Linked DNA regions of Xenopus tropicalis. The protein of the gene in region 2 binds, or shares a complex with, the protein of the main gene of each other region. Links are inferred from orthologs where the notes say so. Each region holds a gene or a part of one and is shown on either strand. Other genes may lie near its edges.

Evidence for each region.
Region 1: rbm15 (region 2) and cbll1 share a complex: the UniProt entries of both Homo sapiens proteins name them as parts of the WMM complex. The link is inferred for Xenopus tropicalis from reciprocal best matches to the Homo sapiens genes RBM15 and CBLL1.
Region 3: rbm15 (region 2) and wtap share a complex: the UniProt entries of both Homo sapiens proteins name them as parts of the WMM complex. The link is inferred for Xenopus tropicalis from reciprocal best matches to the Homo sapiens genes RBM15 and WTAP.
Region 4: rbm15 (region 2) and zc3h13 share a complex: the UniProt entries of both Homo sapiens proteins name them as parts of the WMM complex. The link is inferred for Xenopus tropicalis from reciprocal best matches to the Homo sapiens genes RBM15 and ZC3H13.
Region 5: rbm15 (region 2) and mettl3 share a complex: the UniProt entries of both Homo sapiens proteins name them as parts of the WMM complex. The link is inferred for Xenopus tropicalis from reciprocal best matches to the Homo sapiens genes RBM15 and METTL3.

Annotation. Positions count from the first base shown.
Region 1 is NC_030679.2:76,283,217-76,289,117, forward strand, and holds the end of cbll1 (E3 ubiquitin-protein ligase Hakai), read right to left. Parts: intron 5,239-5,901; coding exon 5,165-5,238; intron 4,714-5,164; coding exon 4,672-4,713; intron 2,234-4,671; coding exon 1,201-2,233; 3' UTR 144-1,200; downstream 1-143. UniProt on the Homo sapiens protein: E3 ubiquitin-protein ligase that mediates ubiquitination of several tyrosine-phosphorylated Src substrates, including CDH1, CTTN and DOK1. Targets CDH1 for endocytosis and degradation.
Region 2 is NC_030678.2:72,274,329-72,280,673, forward strand, and holds the start of rbm15 (RNA-binding protein 15), read left to right. Parts: upstream 1-2,258; 5' UTR 2,259-2,350; coding exon 2,351-4,861; 3' UTR 4,862-4,895; intron 4,896-6,345. UniProt on the Homo sapiens protein: RNA-binding protein that acts as a key regulator of N6-methyladenosine (m6A) methylation of RNAs, thereby regulating different processes, such as hematopoietic cell homeostasis, alternative splicing of mRNAs and X chromosome inactivation mediated by Xist RNA.
Region 3 is NC_030681.2:44,106,722-44,113,269, forward strand, and holds the start of wtap (pre-mRNA-splicing regulator WTAP), read right to left. Parts: upstream 3,746-6,548; 5' UTR 3,439-3,745; exon of another isoform or gene 3,421-3,438; intron 3,221-3,420; exon of another isoform or gene 3,077-3,220; intron 1-3,076. UniProt on the Homo sapiens protein: Associated component of the WMM complex, a complex that mediates N6-methyladenosine (m6A) methylation of RNAs, a modification that plays a role in the efficiency of mRNA splicing and RNA processing.
Region 4 is NC_030678.2:134,299,822-134,305,722, forward strand, and holds part of zc3h13 (zinc finger CCCH domain-containing protein 13), read right to left. Parts: intron 3,816-5,901; coding exon 3,759-3,815; intron 3,075-3,758; coding exon 2,971-3,074; intron 2,149-2,970; coding exon 1,096-2,148; intron 381-1,095; coding exon 1-380. UniProt on the Homo sapiens protein: Associated component of the WMM complex, a complex that mediates N6-methyladenosine (m6A) methylation of RNAs, a modification that plays a role in the efficiency of mRNA splicing and RNA processing.
Region 5 is NC_030677.2:141,969,215-141,975,115, reverse strand, and holds part of mettl3 (N6-adenosine-methyltransferase 70 kDa subunit), read right to left. Parts: intron 5,046-5,901; coding exon 4,659-5,045; intron 3,900-4,658; coding exon 3,724-3,899; intron 1,858-3,723; coding exon 1,641-1,857; intron 1,194-1,640; coding exon 1,006-1,193; intron 410-1,005; coding exon 371-409; intron 287-370; coding exon 178-286; intron 1-177. UniProt on the Homo sapiens protein: The METTL3-METTL14 heterodimer forms a N6-methyltransferase complex that methylates adenosine residues at the N(6) position of some RNAs and regulates various processes such as the circadian clock, differentiation of embryonic and hematopoietic stem cells, cortical neurogenesis, response to DNA damage, differentiation of T-cells and primary miRNA processing.

The DNA.
Region 1 (5,901 bases), on a different chromosome or scaffold from region 2:
GTTAAACAGACGACAAATGCTCTCAGATTTGGCACATTGCCATGATTAACAAATGAAATGTGAACTGAACCTCAAATATCAGATGGGACGGAAATGCTAGTTCCTGGTCATGGCAGAGCAAAAATCTACTAAAGGAGACATACTTATTGCTGTATTGCATCAGATGTGTGTCACATTTAATGTTCAGTATGTTGGTAAGCACTGGTCATATTATGAACATTTACAATTAAGACTATTTAAGAATGGCAAATAATGTACATGGTGGTACAGTTCATTTCCCCCCAACATCCCAGATGTAACATTTACTTTCAAACATTTAGTATTTTGATATTATACCACCATGATTTTTTTGCATCAATGTAGGACCTTCCTTACAAAATTATAGCAGTATTCCCCAAACCTCTAGCACCCATCTTCCATGTGGTGAGCTCCACTTATCACATAGGCTCTAAGTTTTAGTGTTACAAAAGCATATTATACAGAATAAAGGCATATTATACAGAATAAAGGTAATGTCAGACTAATAGATTTGTTGCATTTTGCCAAACCAGCGAACAAAATGCTACAAACTCCTGATATTCAAAGTGAATGGCAAACACTGTTGCCGTGCTATTCCATTTCCATTGTCTGCTGTGTCAGAACCCTATTTACAAACTAATATTTTAATTCTCAATAAGGCAGACACTAGCTGACAGAATAAACAGCCTACTTTCTAATCAATGTAAGTGCCATTATCCGCTATGAAGTTTGCTTGTAAATCAGACTATAAAGATTTTTTTATTATTAATAAAACAGAACATTTAATCTTACAAACCAAGTTTTTTACTGGCTGTAAAAATTCTACAATGTTATACAGCGGTTACTTGTTATATCTTACAACTCAAGGAAAACAACTACTACTGTACACATATACTTACATTTATATTACATTGGGTGTAACATATCATTAAAATGAGACACTTGCTAGGAAATGCAGAAGTTATAATCTTAAGATGGCGGTTTGTCAAAATCTAAAAAAACACAAATCTGACTGTATGATTAAAGTCAAAATTTTCAGAACATGTAGTTCAACTGAAATTGTGTTTTTTGCTTACAACACCCCCAAAAAGGGAAAGCCACAACTGAAGAGACTGTATACACATTACCATAAACCTGCAGCTGAAGCAAAAGATTACATCTAGCAAGTTCAGCATAAGTATTTCATTGATAATACGGCCTGTATCTGGCCTGATCTGGATGATGAGGTCCTGGAATAGGGGCTTGAGAAGGAGGCCCTTGCATTCGGGGGGGTGGCGGTGGTCCTCTTGGAGCAGGCCACATCCCAGGGCTCATTCCCCCAGGTTGTGTGAAGGGAGGGCTTAGAGTTCCTTGATCTTCATTGAACTGAGGCAAAGAACTAGGATTATAATGATGAGGAGGAGGAGCATTAACTGGTGGACCACCATGTTGTGGTGGCGGAGGTCCTGGAGGAGGATGATTCATGTATGGTGGGATTTGAGCAATTATATGTCCCGGTGGGGGTGTTATTGGTGGTGGAGCAGTTGTCATTGGTGGTGGAGGACCTTGGCTGTAAACCATGTGAGGTGTCCCAGCTGCCTGAGGAGGGTGTTGCATTGGATGACTGATTGGAGGGGGTGGTGGAGGGGGTGGAGCATAGTGCTGCTGTGGAGGCATTATATGGTGAGGATGAGCCACCACTGGTTGGCCTGGATACTCTGGATGATGTAGAGTAGGACCAGGTGCCTGAGGAGTTTCTCTGGCACCAGAATTGGAATCATCCTGAATAGGCACTGTGATTAAGTTGCTATGCTGTCTAGTAGATATCCTGAAAGCATCCTGATTAACAGAGCGGGGTGGAGGCGGGGCTAAGGAAATTTCTGCTGGAGAGGGCCGAATATCATCATGTTGTTGACTGAAATGCTCATGAGGAACATGTTGCATTGGGGGAGGTGGCATCAATATATGTTGTTTTGGAGGCATATGACTTAGATGATGCTTATCTGGGGGCATTATAAAGCGATCTGGGATTTCTGCTGGGGGTGGGGCCAAAGGAGGATGGATTGGCTCAGGCTGAGGTCGGGCAGTTGGCTTGGTAGCTCTCATGTGACGGTGGTTAATGTGTGCCTGCAGATCTCTTTGAGATAAATATGTTCTCTTGCAACCTTGCACAATGCTACACATGAAGAGAGAGCCACGTGCACACTGCTCAATGCGTTGAACGGGATCATTGCAACTGAAAAGGAAAAAAAAAAAAACAGAAGTTTCTTAATGCTGCTTGGAAACATACTAATATTCACATCGATGTCCTATTTGAGACATTTTCTTAATGAATGAAAATCTTCCTCAAATTAATTTAACGTAAGATGAAAAAAATATTCCAACCTAGTATGAAAATTTCCTAGTTTTAAAAGTAAAGAGGCATATTTACTACAATTAAAATTGGGGATTTCTAAATGAAACCCCAGCAAATTAAACTTTATCAGAGTTATTTAAATTATTTGAAAGACAAAGCCACCAAAACCTTCAAATTATCGCCAGTTGGGGCTTATAATAAATTACAATTGCATATGCAATGTCATAATTTACCAGAACTTTAAATAATGCATATATAATTGCATATGCTGCCTCAAAAAGATAGGCATTGACGCAATACTCTAAAAACAGTCATGCAGTTACATCACATCATAATTTAATGGCTGCAAGAGTTTTAACGGGCAAAACCATCTAGAAACATTTAAGACTACAATATTGATAGAAGCTAAATGATTTGCCTTTAGAAACCTACCAAATGATGGAACATTAAAATAACTTAGGTTGCCAAGTTCTTAAGTAGCCCCCAGCAGTTCCAAAAAAAAAAAAAAACCCATCTTCAAAAAACATACCAGCCTGGAGCACAGTCCTCCAAGAATTGGAGGATCTACGAGATTTAAAGAAAATTGCAACTCGGCACTTGGTAAGTAGTGCCCAAGGCTGTGCTTTTTTTTTTTTGAAGAAGAAGAAGTGCCAGTCAGGGTAGCAGGTAAGCAACTGGAATCACTATGGGTGATGATGCAAACTGTATAAAGTTAATGGGCAGGGTCTCTTGCTCCTATTTACCAACATCTTGTGTCCGTTGCCAGTACTCCTTTGAATCTGTTGGAACTATATGCTTGAGCAGTAAAGTAAAAATCTTTAACTCAACTACTCATACTAAAAGGTCCAGCATAGCCAAAGGCATCGTTAGCACGAGACTTAGGCATTTTACATTTTAGGCATACCTGTGCAAGTGTGAAAGATGGGCAATCATATCCATAAGTGCTCAAGCTAGCAGAAGAAAGTTGATATCTGATGCACCACATTTCCAGCATGCATGCTGTATCTGCAGAATAACTATTTTTCAAACCACACTGTTGCCTTACGGTATCTTAGTGCTTATCAGATGTAGGAAATAGTCTCAGTCTGCATCAAGTTGAATCAGACCTAGTCATTTACATAGCATGATAAACAGCTACACTAAATCACAAAAGTGTATCCCTGTGGGTGAATAAACTGTTTAGGTTGCTAAGCCATAATCTGTCTCTGTTTAGCTACAGAAAAAAAGTAGTTAATTGAATGGATACAGAAACATACATTGTTAAACATCAGGTAAATTCTGAGGAAAACTCAAGTTTTTTAAATTCCTATTCCAGCTTTGATTTTATCAGTAAAGCCGTTCCAGATCAGTAAAAAAAACTAATTGCAAAATTTACCTAATGTTGGGCTGCATGTTTTATATCTTTTAAGTGTCAACATGCGGAAGGATGTGCATCAACTACGCTAATACTGATCGATATAAGAAATAAAGACAGCCCTTTTCATTAAGAGCTCACAATTGCAAAGATTTGAGCTTGCATCTATTTCAGCATCACTTTCTTTTTCTCATTTAACAGAATACAACCTTGAACCTTTAGTTATTGCCAAAGCACCAAACCTATCCCAACAATTATTAAAAGTAAAATCGCAATAACAAAATGTATGGGATCTCTAATTTGTAAGGTAGAGAAAGCTCCGAACAACAGGTCATGTCTCATACACTCCATGTATAGCAAATAGTTACTTTTTTTTCCCTTTCTTTTTGCAATAAAAATGTCTTGTTCTTGATTACATCTATGATAACATTAATCCATATTAGTGGCAAAACAACCTTATTGGCTTTAATATTAAAGTTATTCTTTACGTATGGTGATCCAGTTCACAGAGCCAGAAAACCCCAGCTTTTGAGCATTCTAGAAAATAGGTACCATACTTCTTGCCCAACTAAACTATTGCAATATATCAGTTTCAGTGAACTCATATAAAGAACCAGTGCTAATCAACAATAAAAAGAGCAATCCAGAACATTGCTATTTTAAAGCTTTCAAAAGTTTTTCAGGATGAAACATGTTTTATGCATAATAAAAAACAAACTCTGCTATATTTTTAAAACAAAAAGATTCCTTGCTCATCAGGAATTAAATGTAATCACGCTCATAAAATTACAACAAAATCATCCCCACATTCTGTGTGGCAAGGCTGTTCTTAAGTAAGTTGAGGTGTTAACATCAAGAAATGTAGCTCATCAGCAAATATGCTGCAATATTTTTTTGGGGAAAAAAACATTCCTAACCATATCTTTGCAGTTACTTAAGAAATTGCTAAACTATTAGAACCTACCTCATACGCTTAAAGGTGTCAGTACTTTCTTCAACAAGTGTTCTTTTGGGAGGGGAAAAAGAGACATTACACCACAAAATAAAAAAAAAACAAAATACACATTCCATTTAGCTCCACCCTGTAAGGTATTTAAAGTGAACCAAAAAAAAATCAAAAAAAAATCACATGACTAGAATAATAAGAACATCCCTCAGCTAAAATAATATTAAAAAATAAAATAGAGAATGTAGCATTCATAAAGGAAACAGTACCCACCCTAAGTAACAAATAAAATCTGGATTCATGCATGTTTATAAATATACTTAATGTTTAACGATTGTTAATTAACTTTGTCAAAAGAGAAGCAACTACCAAATGATTATGAGCAATATATTGACTTATCCATCTTATCGTCTGCTAGGTACTTTTGAGGAATAAATAATACACTAGTACTTAGCCCCAAATAAATATTTTTTCTACTATTTCTAAGAAATAAATGTAATTGTAGGCTTACCCTGGACACAGTTTATCTGCCTTTTTCTCATGCATTAAAGCACAGTCATAGCAGAAAACATGCTTACATGGAATCTGAAAGGAAAACAAAGAAGGTTTTAAAATTTGAATTTATAAGTGTATTCTACACATTTTATGAAGCAAGAGAGTGTGTTGGCAAAAAGCAGCTAGTATTAATCATCTTCTATGAGCAAAAGGTAAGGTCAACCAAACTAAACTGACCATGTATATAAAAAGGAGGTACCCTTCCATTAGAAAAAAAAAATGTATTATGATCAAATAAGGAGGCTATAATTTAAAACAAAGACTTTAAATGGCCCGAAGTGTGCTTAAAAAGTTTAAGAGACTTCACTGTATGACATTATTTTATCTGGCCCTCACACATGCTATATGAGAAATATCTGGCTTAATGAGTTAGACAACATTGATCTAAAACATTGAGCACGATAATGGACTATGTATCACTGCTATGCAGTTAATGCAAAGATTTATTGTGACTTCAAGTCACATACTAAAGACCATGGGAAATATTAATCATTTTGCCAATTTGTTAGTCTTTTTTTCTGGTCTACAACCTACTAAAGCTCCATATGTGATATCAGGAAAAGGAAAATGCCCAATGTCAGCACAAATAAAGTAAGCCCAACATAGTTTGAATATTGGAAGTTTGCTTATGCTACCCCATTTGACTGAACCTAAAATGATCAGGTTCAAAATTAAATAAAAAGTATTTACAGT
Region 2 (6,345 bases):
ATTTAAATGCAATCAGTTCAGCCCTGCAACATGCATTTATTAAAAGTGTCCCTGAATTTTTAAGTGATCTGTTGTCATTACTGTAAGCACAGGTTGCATTTACACAATGAATGTACTTCTACCTAGTGAATTAAATGTTAATGTGGTCATTAACATTACATGCCAGATGTATTAATTATTTAATTAATTTATATATAGTGCCATGTCCACATAACTTGTTCTAAATGAAATCCCCCACCTGGGTCCATTGTTGGACCCAGAAAAAATGTGGTTGGAACAAAGACTAAAGGCCCCCATACACGGGCCGATAGAAGCTGCCGATATCGGTCCCTTGGACCGATTCGGCAGCTAATCGGCCCGTGTATGGGAAGAAACGAGCGGCCTGACAGACCGATATCTGGCCTGAAATTGGATCTTATAGTGTATGGGGACCTTTACTCAGGGCTTGCAAACCTTATAAATACTTTATTATACTATTGCATACAACATGTTTTTGGGATTGGCCCCTGTGTGTGTTCAAAGGCTATTTGGCTCCACCTCCAAAAACCTCATCAAAGTGCAATCCATGTCAAAATGTATTTTTCAACAATTCTTGCATTATGTGATGCATCCATTGCCCACATTTGCATATTAAATAAGGGCTCCATTAAATTCTGTGTCACCTTACATAGCTGTAGGACCAACAATAAAGGCCATAATAAATAATAAAGTTCATAAAATATTAGAAAAATCCATTAAAACAATTATCTGTTAAAAGAATATTTTAAACAGGATACTGCCCTCAACAGGTCTATGCAGGGGACCCAAACATGTTTATTAAACATTTAACCCATTCAATTAGCTCCTACATCACTTAATTTATATCAATACCTGAAAACAAAAAAATGCTTGAACACATCCAGTAGAAGCTCCATATTCATCACTCATCTAAAAAGAAAAGAAGGATATGTCATCATAATATTCTAAAGTTCCATATTTCACATACAAGTATGGGACCCGTTATCCAGAAGGCTTGGGACCTGGGGTTTTCCAGATAAGCAGTCTTTCCGCAGAGAAAAAGGAAGCCATTTTTGGCATTCCCTTAATTCTGAACTTTCTGGATAATGGGTTTCTGAATAAGGGGTCCGATACCTGTACTTGATAGTTTTTGTTATCTATTTTGCCTCGCTTTGTAATATTGTGTTCAGTGCCTCACCTAATGAGTCACTTATTGGTGGGCATAAATTAAAAAAAATCTGGGAAATAACCTTTTTACGAGGTTCATGGTTTAAATAGGTTATTGGGATCTGGAGCTATATTCTCCTACATTCTGAACACATTGCCACTGTTCACATTTAATAAAGGGATCAATGCCCAAAACATTTTGTGTACAATCACATAAAAGTATCTGCAAGGCTTGAATTCTAGAATAAAGTACGCTGGAAAATTTGTTTTGAAAATTGCACTTTGCACATAACACGGTATTAATAAATGTACCTTATAGAACATTGTGTTAAAATGTTAAAGAGGTTACCAAAGGTCTACAATCTATATATCCCTGTATAGTAACAATACTGCATTAGGATTGTTTGACAATAACAGCAAAGGAAATACCAGTAAGATATGTTTGAGTGAAACACAAACATGAAATAGTGTATTAATAATCTGTAGGGGTGGTACTACAAAGGGAAACAGACTAGAGATTCAAAGGGCCTAGAATGGTCCTTACAAAAAAACAATTTTAATTACCCAATTTAGCATATGTTTAATAGTTCTAAAATGAATTTGTTGTGGGGACCAGTAACAACTAATTACACCACTAATAATGTGTAAAAAAAAAATCTACTTTTAACTGAAACGACGTTCTCGGCTTAAAATCACTTGAACAATTATGCACCTCCTATCCAGCAGCCTAGTAACCTGCAAAAGTATATAGAATCGATTCTACTGGGTTGTTTAAAACGCTTTGCATCTGATATGCCAATGTTGTCTCTTTCCAACGTTCCTCTTTACATTTCACTGAAATTTTACAAAAGTAAAATTGATATGAAACAAATGAAACCTTAGAAACCATTGTAGCACAAAAGATTTCACGCGTGAAAGGATGGATCGAAGCTTTAATAAACCTGCAACGTAGCCATTAGCCAACCCATAACGCCCCGTGGGAAACGCAGAGAAATAGCGGAAGTGACGTGCCCAAAGACCACCCCATCCTATGCGATCTTGTAAGAATGACTGCAGAGCTATCCAATAGAATTTTAAGAAAGCCAGAAAGTACCCAATCGCTATTCAGGGCGGTCAATTAGGCGAAACCGCTGCAAAATGGCGGAGTGTAGTTGTGTGTGAAGACACTATCATCCCGTAACTCGCCATGAAGGGAAAAGAGCGCTCCCCGGCCAAGGCCAAACGGTCCCGGGGGGCGGAGGAATCAACTCGCGAGAGAAGCGGAAAAAAACTGAGCTCCGGTGGAGGCAGTAACGGATCATCGGGAAAGACATCTGAAAGCAGCACAGGCCGCCGGAGCCTGCATGTGGAAAAGGCTATTTCCTCGAGCCGCGACTATGATCAATCGAGCAGAGCCCAGGGCTTGCATCGCTACGGCTCCCCCGGGGCAAGCAGTGGCAGTAGCAGCAGTAAAGGTGGCGCTGAGAGCCGAGGCGGCGGCGGCCGGGCTACAGAGAGCCGTGCAGAGCCAGAATACTACAAATCCTTGCGGATAAGCGAGCTGGGCTCCTCGCTAAGTGACGAGGCAATAGAGGATGGACTTTTCCATGAATTCAAAAAATTCGGAGACGTAAGTGTGAAAATCTCTCGCGAGGGGGACGAGCGTGTGGCCTTAGTGAATTTCAGGCGCGCCCTGGATGCCCGAGCCGCTAAGCACGCCCGCGGGAGGCTTGTCCTTTACGACAGACCCCTCAAGATTGAGGCTGTTTATTTGAATGTCGGCGGTACTAACCGGAGGCGCAGCCGCAGCCCTGGGGAGAAAGACTCGTATGGCGGACTCGCCGCCGCTGTTTCCACACTAGCCACACACAGGCACCCTCACGGCCAGCGCGCACTCTCCCCCGGCGGCCTGGGCTACAGAGACTATAGGCTGCAGCAGCTGGCTCTGGGGCGCCTCCCACCGGCTCCGGCAGCTCTACCCAGGGAGCTGGACAGGGAACGGGAATACAGCCTTTATGATAGCCGGCTAAGGTCTACCTACACAGTAGATCCCCGACTGAACTTTAGAGACGAAGACCTTGCTTTAGAGATTGATGCCAGAGCTAATCGTACACTCTTTGTTGGAAATCTGGATGTCGTTGTCAAGGAGAGTGAAATTTATAGGGTCTTTGGACGTTTTGGAACTATTACAGAAGTAGATATAAAACGAGCTGGTCGTGGGCAGCAAACGACCTATGGTTTCATAAAGTTTGAAAACCTTGACATGGCTCACAGGGCAAAGGTTGCAATGTCCGGCAAGATGCTTCGTAGTCATGCTTTAAAGATCGGCTATGGGAAAGTAGTACCAACAAACCGCCTTTGGGTGGGGGGTCTGGGACCTTGGGTACCAGTAACTGCATTGGCCCGGGAATTTGATAGATTTGGCACCATCCGTCAAATTGATTACCGCAAGGGGGAAAACTGGGCGTATATACAATATGAAAGTCTGGATGCTGCCCAAGCTGCCTGTACCCAGATGAGAGGCTTCCCTATGGGGGGTGACCATAGAAGACTTCGTGTGGATTTTGCAGAAGCAGATGTTCGTTTTCCACATCCTTATGTTCAGCCATTACCCATCCCTTATATTGATTTTGGAGAGGAGACACCAGGACATCGGACTAGTGAAGCCAGCAGAGCCAGAGATCGTTCACCACCTTTAATATTCAGGGACAGGGAAAGAGATGCTTATACAAACAATGATTGGGTGTCACCTCCTGCCAGAGACAGACACAGAGTCACTAGTGAATCTCTTGAAACAATAGAACGACGTGCAGATAATTGGGCTTTAGACAGAGACCGTGAAAGAGATGAAGTGAACAGAGATCAGCCCAGGAAAAGGAGACTGGATGATAGCCGTCACCTAGACAGATCACCAGAGAGTGACCGCTCTAGAAAGAGACACTGTGTCACTCCTGAACGTAGCCCTGAAGGCAGTGGAGGTCGAGACAACCGTTACAATGACTCTGATCGAGTAGCATGCCGCTCCTCACCTTCTAGAGATTGGAAGGGAAGCCTGGAGCGGGGTCAAGAAGACAAACATGATAGAAAAAACTCAGTTGAAAGAGAAAGAAGGCATCGTGTACCTGCAAATAAAAGCCCTTTAAAAAAGGATGAGCATCCAGAGGGCAACAGCAAAGTGAAACCTCCACAAAAATCAGAAGCAGCACACAAGCTGTGTCTGGCTTGGCAAGGTATGCTGCTGCTTAAGAACAGCAATTTTCCATCCAATATGCACCTTTTGCAAGGAGATCTTGGAGTTGCATCCAGCTTGCTGGTTGAGGGACCTTCAGGAGGAAAGGTGGCACAGCTAAAAATTACACAGCGCCTACGACTTGACCAGCCAAAGTTGGATGAAGTTACTCGACGCATCAGAGTGGCAGGGCCTAATGGCTATGCCATCCTACTTGCCATTCCTGGTACTTCCGAGGGTTCATCAGTGGACCAAGCCAGTTCAACACAACGACCCCTAAGAAACCTGGTGTCCTACTTAAAACAAAAACAAGCCGCAGGTGTTATCAGCCTGCCCGTTGGGAGCAATAAAGACAAAGATCATGCAGGAGTTCTTCATGCTTTTCCTCCCTGTAATTTTTCCCAGCAGTTTCTTGATGCTGAAGCAAAAGCCCTTGTGAAGTCTGATGATGACTACCTTATAATGATTATAGTTCGTGGGGCATCCTAGGTCCATGTTTGTATTTCTGTCTACTATTCACAAGGTATTATGGGATACAGTATAACTTTTAGTTTTTTTTTTTTTTGTAATCGCAAGTTCAGTCTTTGTATTGCAGTTTTTGATCTGCTTAGCAAAAGCATTTATGTAATTAAACAGGACCGGACCATATTCAAGTGTTGACGTTTCCTGCCTATTTCCCATTTTCTTTAAATTATATTCTCTTAGCATAGGTAATCACAATCTTCTGATTTTGGCAACTTCTTGAATTTTTTTAAGTGTGAGATTTCTGCTAATTTTTGAATACATTACTTCTTAAATTTGGTTCCCAAACTGTCACTGGACTGTAACACCAAAAATGTTCTCATGTGATGCTGTCCAGCAACAATTGGGAATACAAAGTTAAAAAAGACTTCCATGTATTAATTTGACCCGTTACCACATGCTCGAGTATCCACTTTTCTGCTAGTTTTCTGCAGCATGCAGTAGAGTTCAGTGTAAATACTGTATGTATGTGTATGTGTGTGTGTATATATATATATATATATATATATATATATATATATATATATAATATATATACACACACACAAACATATATATGTTTATCCTACACATCTAAAGAGAGGATTTGAATGATATTAAGAAGGAATTTTATTTTTAAACTTACTCTGTTTAGTTTATTTCCTCCATCAAGAAATGGGTCATATAGCATGTTTGTAGAACAGTGCCATATAAGTGTCAGATATAAGAGTGCCCCATACCACAGAGAGCTCCTTAGCCAGTATGTAGGTTTCATGCATAGAGTAAGCTATGCAAGGAAGCTCTAAATTTGCCACGTGTCACATAAATCACATACATTTTTACTATGTAGGGTCATAGCTAACAATTGACTTTGTCATTTATACTACATAGCATGTATATAGAAATAAGATTATCAATTGCTCCCTTAATGCATATGTCTAAATTTCAAATCTTTTAGATGTGCAGCTATTATTTTTTGTTTTATTGGCAAGTGTGCTTATAAGTTCAGAAGCTAAGGACGTTTCAAAACACCAGAAATGTGTTCTTGCATATATGTAAACTTTAAAAGAGCCCTGTTGTGTTACAGGACAAAAGATATTACTCGACAGACACTGGAGGGCTTTGTGGGCCATTAAAAGTTGGCGATCATACAATGACAGAATTTGCGGTGTCCTGGCCAGTACACTTACAAGTTAATTTTAGGAATTCCTTATGTGAGAGGCAATTTCATGCAGGCGACAATGCTTTGTGTGCCATTGGGATCCTAGAACTGCCACATCTGTCATACTGCCTCATGCTACAGTATGATGTGATGCTGTGTGAAAATGCTGTAATATTCATTAGTCACTTTGTTATAGAGCAGCCATTGTTCACTGTATGGATGATCTTTGTCCAACAACACAGTGTACGTAGTGGAGCAGTGAGAGGTTGCTGCTTTATTACAAAACAGTTTACACAAACTAAGGCTTACA
Region 3 (6,548 bases), on a different chromosome or scaffold from region 2:
CAATAATAGGATTCTGAAACCATAATGAAAAATTTCACTCGTCTGATACAATAAGTTTTACTGTGAATATCCACATGGGCTTGTACTTAGCTGAATATCACTGATCTCTATTAGAAGTTTCAAAGCATTTTTTTACACAAGAACTGTACTCTGGCAACTTGCTAAACTTTCTGGCATAATGCGAATGTGTCTTCGTAAAAAGAAGGTTACGCTAAATTTATGAGGTGGCTTACTAAGGATGTCTGTTGTTTCAAGGGTAGAGAAGGACCTTGAAGCTAGCATGTTTTAACTTTGCTTACTTCCTTAATGTACAGACGGCAAAGGTACAGGATCCATTATATGGAATGCTTGTGACCTGTGTTTTTCCAGATAAGGGATCTTTCTGTAATTTGGAACACCATACCTTAAAAGAGAAGGAAAGGCCAATATATTAGGCACCCCCAAGTGACTTTAATCGCTTACCTTTTACCCCATGCTGGTGCCCCTGTTAGGAGAAAACTGCACCAGCCCGGTGTACCTGTAGCGTTGTTAAAGTTCGGCTTTTCACTATACTCGCAGCAACCCCAGGCTGGTGAGGTTTTCTCCTAACAGGGGCACCAGTCCGGGGTAAAAGGTAAGCGGTTAAAGTCACTTGGGGGTGCCTAACATGTTGGCACCCCCAAGTGAATTAGCCTTTCCTTCTACTTTAAGTTTGCTAAAAAAATGAAACATTACATAAACCCAACAGGATTGTTTTGCCACCAATATGGATTCATGAAGTTAAGTTGCGATTGAGTACACTGGACTATTTGATTAGAGAGAAAAGTAAAATCATTCTAATCAATTAGAATTACTTGATTGGTATGGCTGTCAGTTCATGAGAAAACACCTGGATCTGCCAATGGTTTCAGGAGCCTGTATCTCTTGAACTACTGACTGAAAGAAGTGTGGCTTAAGATGATAACTGAGTGTACACTGTATCCGGTTACATATTTATTTACCAAGTAGCTAACTGATGCATAAAATGCACAAACTGTGCATTTTCAAGTAGACTACAGTGAAAAACCATAAACTATGGGAGGACCTGGCCACTAAGAATTTAACCATTTTTTGAGGCAGCCAGTGTGCGAATGTGATGCACAATGATTTCATATTAAACTGCATTCTAGCTTGATTCCCTGCATGCCAAAATAAGCCTTTAAGTGTATGTACTCTGTATCCCTTTCCCTACAGAACTATATTGATATTTACAATGTTTTCATGAGCAGTTTTTGTTGCTTGCCAGCATCAGGAAATATCATCAAAGATATAACATGCCCTTTCTGTATAAAAAGAGCACTAAGAAAGAGGCAATTGTGGCACTTTCCACATAAAAGGCAGGAGAGGGCTAACCTAATTTGCTTTGCAGGACTGCATGACAGCTTTCTCAAAACTTTTACTCACTCCTCTATAACTAAAAAAACAATGTCACCAACAAGATCATGTTAAACATTTTGCTTTTAACTCTACTTTCGCAGAATAAAAATGAAATCTAATATGGCAACATAGATCTGAGAATGACTAATAATGCACCAGGAGGGTTAACAAGATTGCAGGGCAATAACTAGGAATTAACAAGAAACACACTCAGGTTTATTATATTCCAAAATGAAAGTGTCAAAACCTAAAAAAAAAAAACCAAAAAACTGGTGGGCTGATAGTGTCCGATACCTTGTCTACCTCCAAAACATGCATTATGAATCAGCTAAGAGAACTGTACAAAGTATGTTTCCCTTAGTCAAACCACAGCAACAATAACACCAGATGGATTCAAACTGCTTCCAATTTATATTGACAAAATGTGTGGGCTTACTATAAGCATCTATACACCAAAAAATGTTGTGTTACACATGCAACATTAACATAAAATACCTGTAATATGCAATGCATTTCAGAGCTTTATTGGACACTTGGACTTCTCACGTTGATACCCCAGGGCTTTCCTGGTTCTCCAGTGAGTATAACTACGTTCCACAATTACAATGTTTGTCAAAAAACAATTCTCTAAGGGACATGGCATCAGCTGGTTGACAGCATATAACAAACTACCAGCAACAGAAAGGTATTTTGGTACTACTACCCTTTATCTTCCATAAAGATTAACCATCTCATCTTTGAATCTAATGAAGATGCCATGTATGATGCTCCATGTGAATCATATGCTAACTGCATGAAGATTTGATTTATTGTAGTATCACTGCAATTCTATTGTTTAATGGCATTGACATTTCTTTTTTAATCTTCTTGTTTTAATTCTTTATTTGAAAATAATTTAAATATTTAGATCATCTTAGAATCAAGATTACCTAGAAGTGAAGTCTATGTGGCAAGTGAAAACCTCAGAAGTACTGGATAAAGATTCCAGCCAATAAACACAAACAGTGCTAGCAAGGCTACATTTTACTGTACTCTCTTGGAAACAATCACTAAACTTACAATGGGACACAGGTAAAAATGCTTATATGTGCAACATATTTTCACATATTGCTGCATATACCTGCAAGTCACCTCCATAGGGGCAGCATCTGCTCTCAGGGTAGTTAGTACTCCATGCAATCACAGCATGGAATAAAGCACAAACAGGCAAAACAAACTCCCATGTGAACTAGGATTTTTAAGTCACCTTGCTTCACTTACTTTAGTAACCAAATCTTTAAAATGTTGTATTTACATGAACAAAGGTTATTCTGCTTGTAAAGCAGAGTATTTATAAACAAAATGGTGGGAAAATTGGGGGGGGGGGGTCTCAAAATGTCTAACAAACATGGCTTCTGCAAATATGTGCACTTTTAAATAAGCTGAGGTCTCTCATTTATTTTCCCCAATTATATTCCTTCCAAAAAAGCAGCATGTGAAACTGTAAGCATTGCCACATCCAGTAGTTTCACTTCCATGTAACTGTACAGCGCTTTCCTGCTCACTGGCAGACAAGTGACTGCTCATATACTTTGCATATAACTGGAAACACGGTAATTGGGTGAATTTCACTGCCCCTCTCCACTATCAGAGCCTTTGGAAAAGCATAGTGACAAAGGTTAACGTGTTATTTTCAATTTACATCAGGGAAGTCCTTCAGCTTATGTTCGTTTGCGACAGCAGCTCCCACCACTCCGACTAATCCCAGCGGGGACTGCAGTTGGACATCCCTAAGTCACGTACATCCCTCCTCGGATGGGAGCTGCAGATTTCCTGCAATGCCCTCTCCTTTAACTACAGCCCCGATTCTAAGGTCAGTCACGAGAAGGCCGCAGCCTTCCGAGTTCCGCCATTTTTTTTTTTTTTTTTGGAAGGAACAGATACAGACAATCCTGGTGCCCACCACACACACACACATACACAGAAGAGATTGAGTCACCAATAGTCCCAAAACGTACAAACTAGCACATGGTTTCTGCTTAATACCTCACAACTCAAACCCACCGTGTCCTCTCCGCTTCTGCCTCCCACCTTATGCGGTGAGTGAGCTGCGCAGCCCGGGCGGCTCCTGTCCTGGTACTCGCAATTCCGCGGTGCTCAGAGAAAGAGTTCCTATTGACACCGGCAACAATTAATATGGCTTGTGCGACTTTAAATCGCTACAGGCAAATTCGTAGTTTCGGTCAGTCTTATCAGGTCTCCGAATGTTGCTTTTCTCTCGTCTCTTCCTCCTCTAGATGTCTCCGACACAAAATGGCGGCAGCGGAGGAAATGAGGCGGGAGTCATTTCTCAGTCACACCCCCTGCCATGAGAGAGATACGCATTCTCTTGACTGAACTGGAGCACGAAATTTTATTAGGAAAACGTGCTTTATGTGTAATATATATTTGTGAGTGTGTATATAGTATATCAACACACACACATATATATTTTAAAGTGCCTTATGTATACAAAATTGTTTATTCAAAACTCTATAATTGTAAAAACATTGCCAATTTTCACTTCATATATTTGGCATGATTTCATGTTTTAGGGACAAGGGACAGTTTGTAGACAAGTTGGCTGCCCCATGCCATGCAATAGCAGTTGCACACACAAACTTAAAGGCAAGTTGCATTTAGAACTTTTACTGATATTTAGTATAGGACCCATTATCCAGAACGCTCGGGTCCTGGGGCTTTCCAGATAAGGGGTCTTTCTGTAATTTGGATCTCCTACCTTAGGATGGTTTTGTTCCAATAAGGATTAATTATATCTTAGTTAGGATCAAGTACAAGGAGATGGCCTCTCCGTAATTCGGGTTTCCGGATAAGGGGTCCGATACCTGTATGTATGTAACCTTGAAAAAAACACTATTTTTGTAAACACTGGAGCATTTTGCAGTAGTTATGATGTAAAGCTTTAAAGGACCAGTAACACCAAAAATGAAGTGCTTTAAAGGAGCAGTTCAGTGTAAAAACAAAACTAGGCAAAATACATAGACTGAGCAAAATAAAATTGTGTTGCAGCGCGACTAATCTCCCTGTGTGTCACTGCCCTAAATGGCACAGGTAACATAGGCGATACGCTCTGTAGAATACAGGGCCGGCCCTAGGCCGATTGGACCTATTGCTGCAATCGGGCCCGCGCCAATGGGGGCCCCGCCGTGATACACCTCTTTTTTTTTTTAGCCCGGGTTCCCTTTAAAAATGACGAGCCTTTTCATTGGTGGTCAGCGGGTAATTTGATTGGTCGCGCCCTGTGCGTATATGTGACATCAGTATGCACAGGGCGCAACCTTTAAAAGTGAGGACACAGTGAGCCAGAGGATGCAAGCAGCGGCCAGCTGGAGGAGGAGCAGGGGGACGCTGAGAAAGAGCATGACAAGGGGACTCCTCAATTGACCCTTTGCCTTGAGGCACCCTACTGAACCCCCTTGTTACATACCTTAATGAAACAACAGGAGACAGAGGTGGAGAAAATGGCCACAGCATTTATTCACATTTTATCAAATAAATAGGACCTTGCAAGCCTAACCCAAGGCAATATTCTTAAGCCATAATTTCATAAGAGGTCGATACTATGCTCTGCCGTTCCTCGCTGAAGACTTGAATGAGTATTAGACTGCCTCTACCTACAGAGAGGAAACTCTGATACCAGCAGGAGCTGCATTACCAACCATGAGTGAAGTTCAGCAGCCCTGCTGCTGGTCCTGGATCTGCAGTGTCTTGATGATAGGATATCCTATATCCTTATACCGTATAAAGATAGAGAAAGCACAATATAACAATGCATTCAGGAAAACATCCAGATTCAGTTATTAATAGATATTATGAAATCAAAAAGAAGAGAAATTCCTGACATTTTGCAAAATATGCAAAAAGAGGGAGGGTGGGTGGGATGTTTCTTCCTCCTCAGAAGATACGGACGTGAGTGCCCTCTTTTTCTGACATCACATCCCTCTCATTTTCTCCGCCCCCCAGGCCGGCTTTCTCCTGCCTTAATTCTTTCCTTCTCACCTAATCACAGTTGAACCTAGTTCTCCAATCTCTAAACATAAACCAGTGTAATCTGGCTGCTGGTTATTTGGATCCCTTGTCATGCAGCCCCTGCGCTTATAGCTCCAGGGCTTTCCTGGATGAAGCAGGTGGGCGCTGGGGGTAGAGTTGGGGGAGCTGGGGGAGGCCTGGGGGAAAGTTGACAGAGCTGGAGGATGCTGGGGGGGGGGAGAGTTGGGGGAGCTGGAGGATGCTTGGGGAAGAGTTGAGGGAGCTGTTGGATTCTGGGGGGAGAGTTGGGGCATGCTGGGGGGAGAGTTGAGGGATGCTGGGGGGAGAGTTGAGAGATGCTGGGGGGAGAGTTGGGGGAGCTGGAGGACACTTGGGAAAGAGTTGAGGGAGCTGTTGGATGCTGGGGGGGAGAGTTGGGGGAGCTGGAGGACGCTTGGGGAAGAGTTGGGGGATGCTGGTGGGAGAGTTAGGGAATGCTGGGGGGGAGAGTTGGGGGAGCTGGAGGACGCTTGGGGAAGACGCTTACTAGATACTGTATATCATGACCTGGATGAATGAGAATCTTCATAGACAAACAGACAAATAGATACTGCTTTGAATAGCAATTACAAATAACTTTAATATCAATAAATGCATCTGATTAAAGTTTATTCAAAAGTTATCTTTTTCTTTTCCTCTTAATACACCAAAACAATGCTTTCTGTCACTATGTATTTTAAGAAAACTAAAGTGTTCAGATCCCCTCTGAACACGTGATTTACACAGAGATGTCAGCTTCCCCACATTTTCCTGTAGTCTCCCAAATGTATACATGGAGTTTCGAACACATCCTAATTGGACAGATTGGGGATTTAACTGGGTATAACAGGGCATGGTCAAAGCACCCCCCAGTGAAATAGATCACTAAGTTTTTTTCCCAGGCTGGTGGTCCTGTTAGGAGAGAACTAAACTAGCCTTTGGGGAAAAAAAACGAGCGCAGCTCCTGTATCTCATTACCTTACTATCTTTTTGCTAGGTGCTTGCATTCTGCCCATGTACAGTAGAGTAAATCTTAACAGGTATATTCTACTGCTCATGGAGGAAAGGAATTTGCACAGGGAATGTCTGGGACACCAGTAGAAAGG
Region 4 (5,901 bases), about 62 Mb from region 2:
TTCCTTTAGATCAGTACGTTTTGGCTCAGCAATGGGTGGCATATCAAGAAGGCGTACTCGTTCTTTCTCTGTACTGTCAGGAAGAACTTTCTCACGTTCCCTATCAATGTCACTCCTCCTGTCTCTTTCACGCTCTCTTTCTCTTATCCTGTCACGGTCTCGGGTTCTTGGCCATTCTTTATCAGCTTCCCGATCCCACTCCCTCTGTCTTCCAACTCTCCTTTCTCTCTCTCTGTCCTTGTCACGCTCTCTCTCATATTCGTAACGCTCTCTTTCGGAAGCTCTTTCCCGGCTGTCAAATGACCCAGATCTGGAATGCACCTGACGATCTGATTCAGGGGAACTTCTTCTGGAACTGTGACTTCTTGAATCCTGACGATCTGTTAAACAAATAAACACATTTATACTATTGTGGTATCTTTCCTCAATCAATATAAGACTGACAGCTGTGTGCAGGTGTAAATAGTAAAACGTCTCTACTACTAAAGAAACTACACAACTGGGTTTCTGTGCAGCAAATAAGAAATCTTTTATTCTTGGTGACTTCCATATGAGGAGCATACTTGCTCCACATAATTAATAAAAACAAGGCCTGCAAGAGAAGTAAAGCATTCCAAAGCAACTACCTTGATATGTAACTGTGTGGAATAAAGCATGGTGTGGGATGTGCTAATTCCGACATTCCCCCAAGTTAAGTTTTTACAGTACTTATAGTACTTTCTTGTACAAAGGGGTTCTTTACTACTAATTTACTACTAATGTTTCCTAAGTCTGGTACGCATAAAAAAGTATTAGTTTAAATGCTGCTGACTTTACAACATTAGTACCTTATAACAATATGTACCCTCTAGAGGGCCTCTCAAGTCCTTATGTCAATTCAGTTGGGCCGGAATGACAGCAGTAACAATATAAAAACGTCAACCAATATACAATAAAAAAGTGACCTATACTTTTATAGATTCTCACAATGATCTTCTTTAATTTTTTTGTCCTGTAGGATTTGGTAAAATCTTCAAAAAAACACTGATAAACAATAACCGACATAATCCATTAAAATTCAATAAAAAGCCTTGTTCGATTTACTGAATGACCCACCTGATGAAGTGCTGCGGCTAGGCTCTCCACGTTTCAGCTGATCTATCCTGGACTTGCGTTCCCCGGTGGGCTCAATGCTTTTATTTCTGTCACGATCTCTAGAGCTACCATGCAATAATCTCCTTCTTGCATTATGGTCTTCTCCACTTCGATGAACAGAATCAATGGATGGTGACCGAAGGCGGCTGGATGTGCGGCTCTGGTTGCTGGATATGCTGCTGCTACGTTTTTGCTCTGTGGGTTTACGAGGAGGAGGTTCTTCGGCGGCTGCAGGTCGAGGTTCCTCTTTTTCTACTTTGACTTTAGAAGGCTTTTTGATAGGTTCCTCTATGCTTTTCTCTAAAGGAACAGGTTCTTTTCTTTCTGGAACATCTTCATCTGACCAGTCACTAAATGCGGTCTCTTTTTCTTGAGAAACTTCTACCACTTTTTTCTCTACCACTTTTTTCTCAGGCAACACTTCAACGACTTCTTCCTTTATGGGTGCTGCTACCGAAACTGGAGCAACTGTAGCGGGTGGTGTTCTAGGTCCTTTTTTCTTTTTGCTAGGCTGAACAACTTCCTCATCAGAAACATCAGAGTCACCCTTGGATTTCTTACGTTTTTTCTCAACACTCTTCTTTTTCTGTCCTTTCTTAGGTGAAAAGACTTGAACATCATCAGACTGAGACTCTGTTGTGCTTTTTTCTGTTCCAACCTCATCCTCTTTTTTCTTTTTTGCAGCTTTCTTTTGCAATTTTGTTTTCTTTGTTTTGTCGTCGTGTAGCTTTTCGGAAATATCCCTTTCCTCTGCTTTGTGCTGAACAACAGTGTCCAGATCTTTAACTTTAGAATTTTCACTAGGTTCTGCTAAATGTTCCCTCTGCTTTTCTGCTGCAGGAACTGCTCTCTCTTTAGTTTCTGACTCTTCATAGCGCCTTGAGCTCTCCTTTCTTTCTGATTTGCGTTCCTCTTCTTTCCAGCGTGATTGTCTTTCTTCATTAACATGAGCAGGACTTAGAGAACGGGTATCTAGGGGTTTAACCACTTGGCTCAGAAGTCTGTGCTTTTCATCTGCAAGCAAAAAATACAATTCTTACAATATGGCAGCAGAGACAGAAGCCTGCCATTCATACTTACTTTATAAATACCTTATTACTATGTTTGTTATGGCTGAATCAAGGCAGACCAACCACATTCTTATTTGAAATTTAAAGGAAAATATATTTTACATGAGAGATGCAGAAATAACTCTTGCACAGTAGAACTATGTACACTATGTGGCCACTGGGTGCCCTCAAAAGCCATTTCCTGCTGTCATTTCATATCTGATTGCAGATTAAGACTTGCAGAGCCTGAAAGTTACAGTTCAGATTCTACAGACACCAAGCAAAGTTGTTCTGTAATGGCTGGCATGGAGACATTAGTCTCAAGGTCAGTCTTGCTTATTAATTTTAAAAATGCAGTAATATTCAACCAAACTAACTATTTGAGGTCATTTAGAGGCTGCAGAATGTTCCTTTTTGTACATTTCGCATTTACATAAGTGCAGAGTTTTTAAATATTCTTGCCTCGGCGAAGGCTTGATGCATAAGGAAAACCAAACACAAACAAGTACCAAATTATAGGTCAAATCCTGCAATGCCCAATACATAATTTGCTCCCTTACTGACTTATGGAAGTCAAGGGATTCTACAAGTTGTGGTTCACGCAGTCAAGTTATTTGATTTAAACCATTAAAGGCAAATCCAACAGAAAAACAAAAACAAACTGAAGTTTATCAGATCATAATTCACATGGCTGTAGCCACCTGGAAAAGTAAGGCAATGGAAGAGCTCAAAATTGTAAAAATCTAGTAAAAATGAAGACTTTTTTGTTTTAAGACGCAATTCTTACTTTTATCATCTCCACTGTTGTAAGCATCACTATCAGGGGAGTGTTCTCGGCGACGCTTGGGGGACTGGCGTGGGCTTGGGCTGCTTTCATTCCTGTGTCGCTTTCTTTTAGGGAAAAAAAAAATACCACACATTTAGAAAAATAAAATGAAGATAATTTGGGCGCACCAAAAAGTTTGAAGTTGGGATTGCAGAACTTCCCAACATTACAGATTTAAATACTGGGACATTTCTTAGCCATGTCTGTTCCACCCATAGCTACACAACTTTTCCATGATGCAACCAAACCTCCCCCTTTCCTGAGACATCCCCCTCAGAACTGCCCTGCCAGAAACAGAACATAATATGTCTGTCACAAAGGAAATCAAAATTGCCACTTTAGAACTGACTGATTGCTCCTTAAAGATGCACCCGACCCAGCTAACTGATATGAAGAATAAAGTGCTCCATTTTTAGGATGCCTTAAAAAAACCTTACTTCATTTACACAATTTAATTTATTTAAGAAAAAAGCACTATAACCAACATTTTATCTTTTCTTGTTTTACCAGTAAAATAGGGAATTATTAGAGATCTGTATAAGGACTATGCGACAGGCATAACTGTTATACAGAAAGCTCTATGACTGGAGAAAGGCAGATTAAAGATTACCCCCCCCCCCCCATATATACCATTAGGCATTGCTTTCAGATTTAAAAATCTGCCCACATGATAGTGTCTCTTTAACGATGTTTTAGTCATGAAGATCACCTTAATATTTTAGTATCTTAAGCATCCTAAGCAACTTTACCGTTGGTCTTTGTGTAGGTTTTGATTTATTTGCCCTTCTATTTTGCCCTTCTCCGACCTGGAAATTAAAATGTAGATTGTGAGGCTATGCTGTTAATGTAGAATTGTCTTGCATGGTTTTTCTTTGTATTCAGGGCGTTTCATTTTCATTTTCCAGAAACTACTGCCGGTCAGTGACCCTGGCAGTTCAGATGTTTAAAAAAAAAACAAATTGTCTTTTAAATCCATCATACTAGAAGTGATAATCTGAATCAGAGACCCATGAAAAGTGCACATCAGCAACCAGATCAGCAAGGACTTTTGCAAAAGTATTTCTTCGACACAAAAATAACCTTGTTTTAGTTACAGCAAATATAGGAACCACATGCATTTTGACATAAAAGGCATGCAGCCACATCATTAAGCTACATATACAAGTTGCTGGAAATGCGTGGAACAATATCAGTATTTATTTTTGTTAGCAATCTATGATGAATGTAATATAGCAACTTCTTGTTTGAAATGGTAAAAAAGGTACATGACTGTATGTTGTATTGTAAATAGCTTATGTGCATGTCCGCAGGTTTGCATAGTAATTGTTTATGGATAATCAATAGGGATCAAAAACATTGGGGGTTGGAAAACATCAAAACCACTAAAACATCTGTTCTTATACTGAAGGTTTTTTTGCCAAATTCCACTTAGTGTGGCTGTATCCCAGCCCAAGCAATGGTTCCGGGTGCAGCTACAACTATCATATTTTTTAAGCGTACTGGCAGATTCTGCCAAGTGTGGCACTAGCCTTAACATCTTTCTGTGCTGGTACTTTATTTTTTAATATTACAAGACAGAGGATTATCAAAACCCTAGACACACAAGTCGGCACTTGTAATAAAGGTGCCAGTAACACCAAAAAATTAAGTGTATAAAAGTAATTACAATATAATTTACTGTTACCCTGCATTGCTACAACTGGTGTGTTTGCCTCAGAAAGACTACTATAGTTTATATAAGTAAGCTGCTGTGTAGCCATGGGGGTAGCCATTCAAAGGCATTCAAAAGGCACAGGTTACTTAGCAGATAACAGATAAAATGCCATTGTATTCTACAGAGTTTATTTGTTATCTGCTATGTAACCTGTGCCCCCATGGCTACACAGCAGCTTATTTATATAGTAGCTTTTCTGTAGCAAAAACACCAGTTTTTTGCAGAGCAACAGCACATTATATTTTAATTACTTTAAAACACTTTAATTTTTTGATGTTACTGTTCCTTTAATTGTCTTATACTGCTAAATCTGTAAGCAGTAACCCACTTCCAACACAAGTCGTGACAGAGTTCAGTGTTTCCAGAGGTATAGCCTTTCATTCTCAGCCGCAGAAATGTTGAATCTTTTCAACATTAGTAGGGGTGCACCAAATCCACTTTTTTGGATGTGGCTGAACCCTGAATTCCTTTGAGAGAGATTCGGGCGAATACTGAACTCTAAATTTGCATTACATCACGTAATTTTAAGGATCTGGATTTGGTTGGCCCAGGAGCGTGGATTTGCCCGAATTCAAATCCTGCCAAAAGAGCCCAAATCTTGGCCAAAACCCAAACCAAATCCTGTCTGTTTTCAGTGCATCCCTAATTCAGCAACAGTTTTAGATGGCCAATGCCAGGCTTTTAGCTCAGTAGCATTCTCTAAATGTTTCTACATGCTTGCTTATCGACAGCTGAAGCCACCAACTGACCCTCAGACAGCTAATGAACTGAAAAACCTGTATTAGCAATATAAAACTGCAAATATAATGCAGTTAGAATAACCATTTTCCCAACAGGTTTCATTTTGTCACATGAGAAATTAAGAGTATTATCTAGGCACTATAAGGATTTTTCCTAGACTAGTACAGTGACAGTTACAGTAGTGGAGGGTGTCAAATCAGAAGCAGCAGAGGAAGAACACCTTTGGCTGTCCAGCTGCTGTGGACCTACAAAAAGTGAAACATAGTGGTGATTCGTGAGTTGGTGATAATATGTATATGTGAAATATAATAGTGATTAGGTCACTTGCAGCAACAATATGCAATTGTTTTCATATGTAGAAATACTTTTTTATATGTAGAACAGTGCTACTTGCTGAATGGTGTGCTTCAAATAAAATCTCTGATGTAGAAATATGA
Region 5 (5,901 bases), on a different chromosome or scaffold from region 2:
TACATTAAGAACTAAAGCCATTAGTGGGATAAAAGTAGCCTGCCTTTCCATCAAACAATGTTATAAAACAGTGAGTAGGGTTGGTGTTTGCATGCATTTCTATTCTAACTTCCTGCATGCATGCAAACATTTGGACAGCATGTTTATACGAGGCATAATGACAGTGACCGTTATTACCAAACAATGTTCCTTGCCGTGGTTCAGCCAGTGGCCAGTACGTCCAGTTCTTATAATTCTTTGCAGCTGGTTGGTTTTTACCCATATGATCTCGTCTACCCGTTCATAACTGAGTAAAGGAAAGCATAGGAATTAAAGAAATTCAACAGAGATCAGAAGGAAGTTAATAAGAGATGAGAGGTTATATACTTACCCCCAGAGCTTCAAACACTCTCTGCCCAGCTCCATGGCCCTAGAATATATAATGCAGTCAAACAGACAGGCAGTGCTAAAGCTACAGTGTTCAGACAACTGTTAGGTTAAATAAATTAATTTCAGTAAATTGATGCCTCTAAACTCTTAGGTTGGTCTTTAATGTACATTAAGCATAACAAATTAACATTTACCCCCGAGGTAACCAAACTTGGCAGTCATAATATGTCATTCGTTAAGTGATTCCACATGCAGCAGCCCCACAGTTTGAGAAGATCTTAGCTACAGATTATTCTTTCCTGGGCACTATATGTTTCTCTCCCAACAATTGCCAAAACATACTGAAACAAGATAATAAAATAGGCTTGCTCCAAGTGAAAATACAGAATAACGAGCCAGCACCTGACTTTATGTGCAAGGCCAATCTAAGTAGAGTTATAATGAATGTTCCGTGGCAGTCAAGTTACAATGTATCAGCAAAAAGGTTATTTCATTATTAACACTGCTAATTAATTTTCAAATTACACATTCAAAAACAAATTGGACTTTCAAATTAAGCAGAAGGTGCATTTGTGAATTCTAGAAAATGTTTTTTTAGCATTTAAACAGGAGAGGGTTTTAGGCAGTGTCATTTACCTCCCAGTGACCCAAAGAAAAAGGAAACCGTCATCCTGTAGCACTGGAATTTGCAGCTTCCTCATCTCATCATCAGTTAGTGTCCCATATGGCAGCTCCATGTGAATATCCCATGGTGGGTCAGCCATCACTACAGAGAACTTTCCCAAGATGCTCATGTCCAGGTAACGGATGTCACAGCGTATCCACTGGTATGTGTGAAAAGTGAGATGTCAGAAAGCCAAAGGAATAAAAAAAAAAATACAACTCATTGCTAGAAGTTCTGATCTAATGCATGAATATATGATTTCCAAATAAAAGCATTGGTACATTTATAAAATTAACCCGTTGTTTATTTTAAGTAAGTATATTGGCAATAAAGGTATAAAAACATTTAGGTTCGATTACTAATACAGTGCAAATCCGCTCCATTGTAATAAGCCCCTAACAACCAGAGATGTATTATTCTACCTGCAGTAGACTGAATAAATATATTTGTGGATTGGTTGCTATGGCTAATGTAATTGGGGTTAAATGAAAGTGTTTAGAAATGACTCAGACTCTGTGCTACCAAGATGTAAAATTGTTTTTGTGCAATAAAAAAAAATATTGCTTTAAAACACTTATAGTATGGTGTCTGTAATGACATTCCTCACCTGTGAAGGAAAGAGGCGTCCCACACTGGAGTCTCCTACTGCCTTTGTTAATGGGGTGTCTTGACTTGGTACTGCCTCTGGCACCACTGCTGTTCCTCCAGGTTCCACCCATGCATCAATCTCATAATGAACATACTTACAGGTGTCCATGTGGAAACAGGTGTTTAGGAAGGAACAGTCACCCAGAGACTCATCAGTGTGCATGTTAATGATGCGCCTGCATGGGAAATAGCAAATGGGTAGAATAAACCAAAAAAACTGCTTAAAAATTATACCTTTTTTAGTTTTAGCTACTATATAACCAATAAAGCACCCTGAAATAGATTTTATACAAAGAATATCCACTCTGTAGATTTTGTAGTTGAAGGGGTGATTAACCTTTAAGTTAACTTTTATTAGGTTATAGAATGTCCTATTCCTATTAACTTTGCAATTGGTCTTCCTTATTAATTTTTAATAGCTTTTTAATTATTTGACTTCCTCTTCTACATCTTTCCAGCTTTCAAATGGGGGTTACTGACCCTGGCAGCTAAAAAATATTGATTTGTGAGGTTACAATTTTATTATTATTGTTACTTTTCATTCAGACCCCATGCTATTCATATTCCAGTCTCTCATTCAAAACACTGACTAGTTGCTAAGGTAAACAAGACCCTAACAACCAAAATGCTGCTAAAATTCCAAACTGAAGAGCTTCTGAACTAAACTAAATAACTAAAAAAACGAAAAAATAAAAAACAATTGCAAATTGTCTCAGAATACCATTGTATAGAGCTGTATAGAGGTTGAAGCCTATCAAACATTCATGCTCTGAAAGTTAAATGAAAGCCACTGGTAACTGGTGATTTAGGAACTCTCTGACCAATTAAAGGCATTTGTAAATGTAATTTTTAATGAAGCAAATAAAAAAGGGCAGCATTTTTTTTTAACTTCTATCATAACGTTGCCTTTGCAAGCTACTTATAATTCTTTTTACAATGCTTTTACATGAGAGGGCAGCAATATTTGTGCTCCGTTAGTCCGTTAGCATTAGAAACAATAACTGACAGGTTGAGAAGGGACAGTCAGGTTGGCAAAACAATCAGTTTTAAAAATGTCAAAATCAGCATAACGTATTGGTAACTTAGTGTACATTAATCTTTTGAAGAGTAGATTTTTGAGTGTCGGTATCACTTTAAGATTTCTAAAACTGCAAAAATAAAATTCCTTTTTGTACATTCTCCTTGGTTTTAAAACATCTTTTAACATCCCTGTACTGAGCCTGTTTAACCAATCCTTTACTCTACTGTTCTACTCTGTAAGGGCATTTCACTTTTAAATAATTATAAATTATATATATCCTTATAGACAGTAAAAGCTATAAAAAGCCCATCAGCGTCTGCAAGCATAAATTTCCAGCTTTTTGTAGGGTAATTGTCCCTTTAAAGTGGACCTGTCACCCAGACATAAAAAGTTGTATAATAAAAGTCCTTTTCAAATTAAACATGAAACCCAAAATAATTTTTTTATTACCACATCCATACCCATTATAAAAGCATTTTAAAATCCCAGCTGTCAATCATATAATGCCTGCCCCGCCTCTATGCCTTAGGCATAGAGGTGGGGCAGACAGTTACTTTCACTTTCAATTCAGAACTTCTTAGATGTTGCTGCCCTCCACACATTCCCCCTCCCTCCTCACCATGTAATTGTGTAACCAGTGCATGGACATGGGCATCAGGTCCCCCCATACTGGCACAGAAACAAGATTTTGGCAGGATGCAATGCCTGCTTTGATAACAGTGTCCACAAAATGGCCCCTGCCTGCTTGCTGCAATTGCTGTGAATTCCAAGGATGAAGAAAATAAAATTAAAATAATTTATACAGTGTAAGTAAAGTTTATTTTGCTTGCCAAACACAACAGAAAACAATTTGAAATTATTTCTTAAGGTGACAGGTCCGCTTTAACTACATTCTCCATTAAATGCATGTGAATGTATATATCTTAAAGGGATTTATGAACGGAATGAGCTTATTATGTTAAAAAACAACTTGTAAAAACAAATGCAATCGGTTGTTGGTTTTAAGTAGCCTGTGTCTTACCTGAAGTGCAGCTTTCTACAGGGTGTGTCGGCTCCTGCAGCTTTCATGCACTCCTCCTTGGTGCCATAGTCACAGAACTCTTGTACTTGGGCCCTGCCACGGGATCTAAACTTTTCCACAATGGACTGCTCTTTGGCAGTGCTGGTGTTAAGTAGTTCTAAGATTTCCTGGCTAACCTGGCAAAACAAACAGAATTAGGGTTCAATGAAAACAAGGTAAACAAAGGGCAATATATACAGTACTATACATTATGTGTCACATCAGTCTGATACACAAGGATTGAATACAGAATGTGTTTTGCCTTTTTAATAATATAAAAAAGTACAAATCGGGTCACAGCTTATATTCTTGACTGTAATTGGAGGAAAGGAGGATTAAGTAGTACCAGTATCCCAAAGTCAAATTTCTCTTCAATTTTCCCTCCTTCACCTTTTGGGTGTTATTTTTGTGCATTTACGATGAAAGTTTTATAGCCCTTAAACACGTCAGCTATTTGATTCCATTATATTTGCCAGTTTGTACTCATGTGTGCATAGAACTGTGATTTATCACAGACAAATTGCACCGCATCTTTTGAAAACCCAACTTGCTGTTTTTTGTGCATTTTACATACATTCATAACAAAACATAATAAAGAGATATGACTTGAACTCACAATATACACACATTGTTGTACTTAAAAATGCCTATAAATGCAACATATATGATTTTATGCACTTAGCATACATTTGTAATCCCAAAAAAAACCCTTGCGTAAAAGCCCCAAGGTCTGAGGGCACAAGATGCCCAGACAGAGAGCAAGAAACAGAACTTTACCAGCTTACCATTTCCAAACTTGAAATAAAAGGAACAATGACAAGATATACCTGCACTCTTTCTTGTTATCTATAGTCATATCCAATTCTCGTCTTTGGAATTTTCTTACTGAGGCTTACCTTCTTACTTTGCTGCTCCTTGGTAGATTGCTGACTTAGGAGACTCTCAATCTCCAAGTCTAGATGGGAAGCATTTTTTCTTGCCTTTTTCTGTGGCTCTGATGCCTTCTTCTCCCCTGAGGCACTGGCAGATGAGGATGAAGATAATGATGAAGCTGAAGGATCTGCCTCCTGCAGCCTTCTCTTCTTAGCTCCAGCTGGAATTGTGGATCCCTTCCTTTCTGTAACAGCCCCCATCATAGCAGATAATTTAGAATGGTCAGCAAAGGTAACAACTGTAGGACGGTCATCATCTTCCTGTCCCCAACCCTTAACCTCAATAAGCTCCTGAGCAGCAAATTTCTGTAAAAGGCTTTCTACTCCTTGGCGTGTGACAGGGAAATCAGGCTGCATTGTAAGAGAAGAGAGTCAATTTATTGTGATTGTGGAACAACAAGCACCATAAAAATACTTGTAACAAATGTAAGAAACAGAAGGCAGCTGATAAAAACACTGACACAATACCAAAAACACAAGCAGAAATCCATTTTTTTTTTTATAAAAATTGAATACTAGCACTCCTATCCTTAAATTGAATGTTAGGCACTGTCCCACAGTGATTATAATCAGTTACCGGAGACATCTGCCCAATTTTTGGCCAGATAACTGTTGGTTAGGCCTGATGGAGGGCCACCTTTACATGTTGCTTTCACCTTCTATTAGTTTGATCTTAAATGCAATCTTCAGCAAATAAGAGCACTGGCCCAGGGTCACAGGAAAGCAACTGTAATCACTGGTGGGCACCCCAACCATGACAGAATGCTGTTATAAAGTGAGCTAAAAATCTTCACGTGCTATTTCATGTGAGATAATAAGGAAACACACCCAGACATGTAACAGGTAACACACTAGCCTATTCAAGCAAGATAGAATGTTTCACGGTGTAATTTTGCAATTGCTTTTTAACAGCTTCTCTGTTACTCTCTGAGGGGATACGGATATGTTCCTATACAAATCCATAAAAATGTGTAAGTAGTACTGGGGGAGTACAAGTATCAACATTTTCAGCCCCATGCTGTCCCCAGCTCAACAGTATCTGTTGTTTGCAAATGTGTAGAGAATGCTGTAGTGACCATGCTGTTTTCTGTGGTCATACTGAGGTCACTGTGATCCATAGGCTGATTACAAGCGAAAACATCACTGGAGCATATTGAAGGGTCAATGTGGCTGGTGAGACTTTTGGGAAGAATCATGTTTGGGCCTC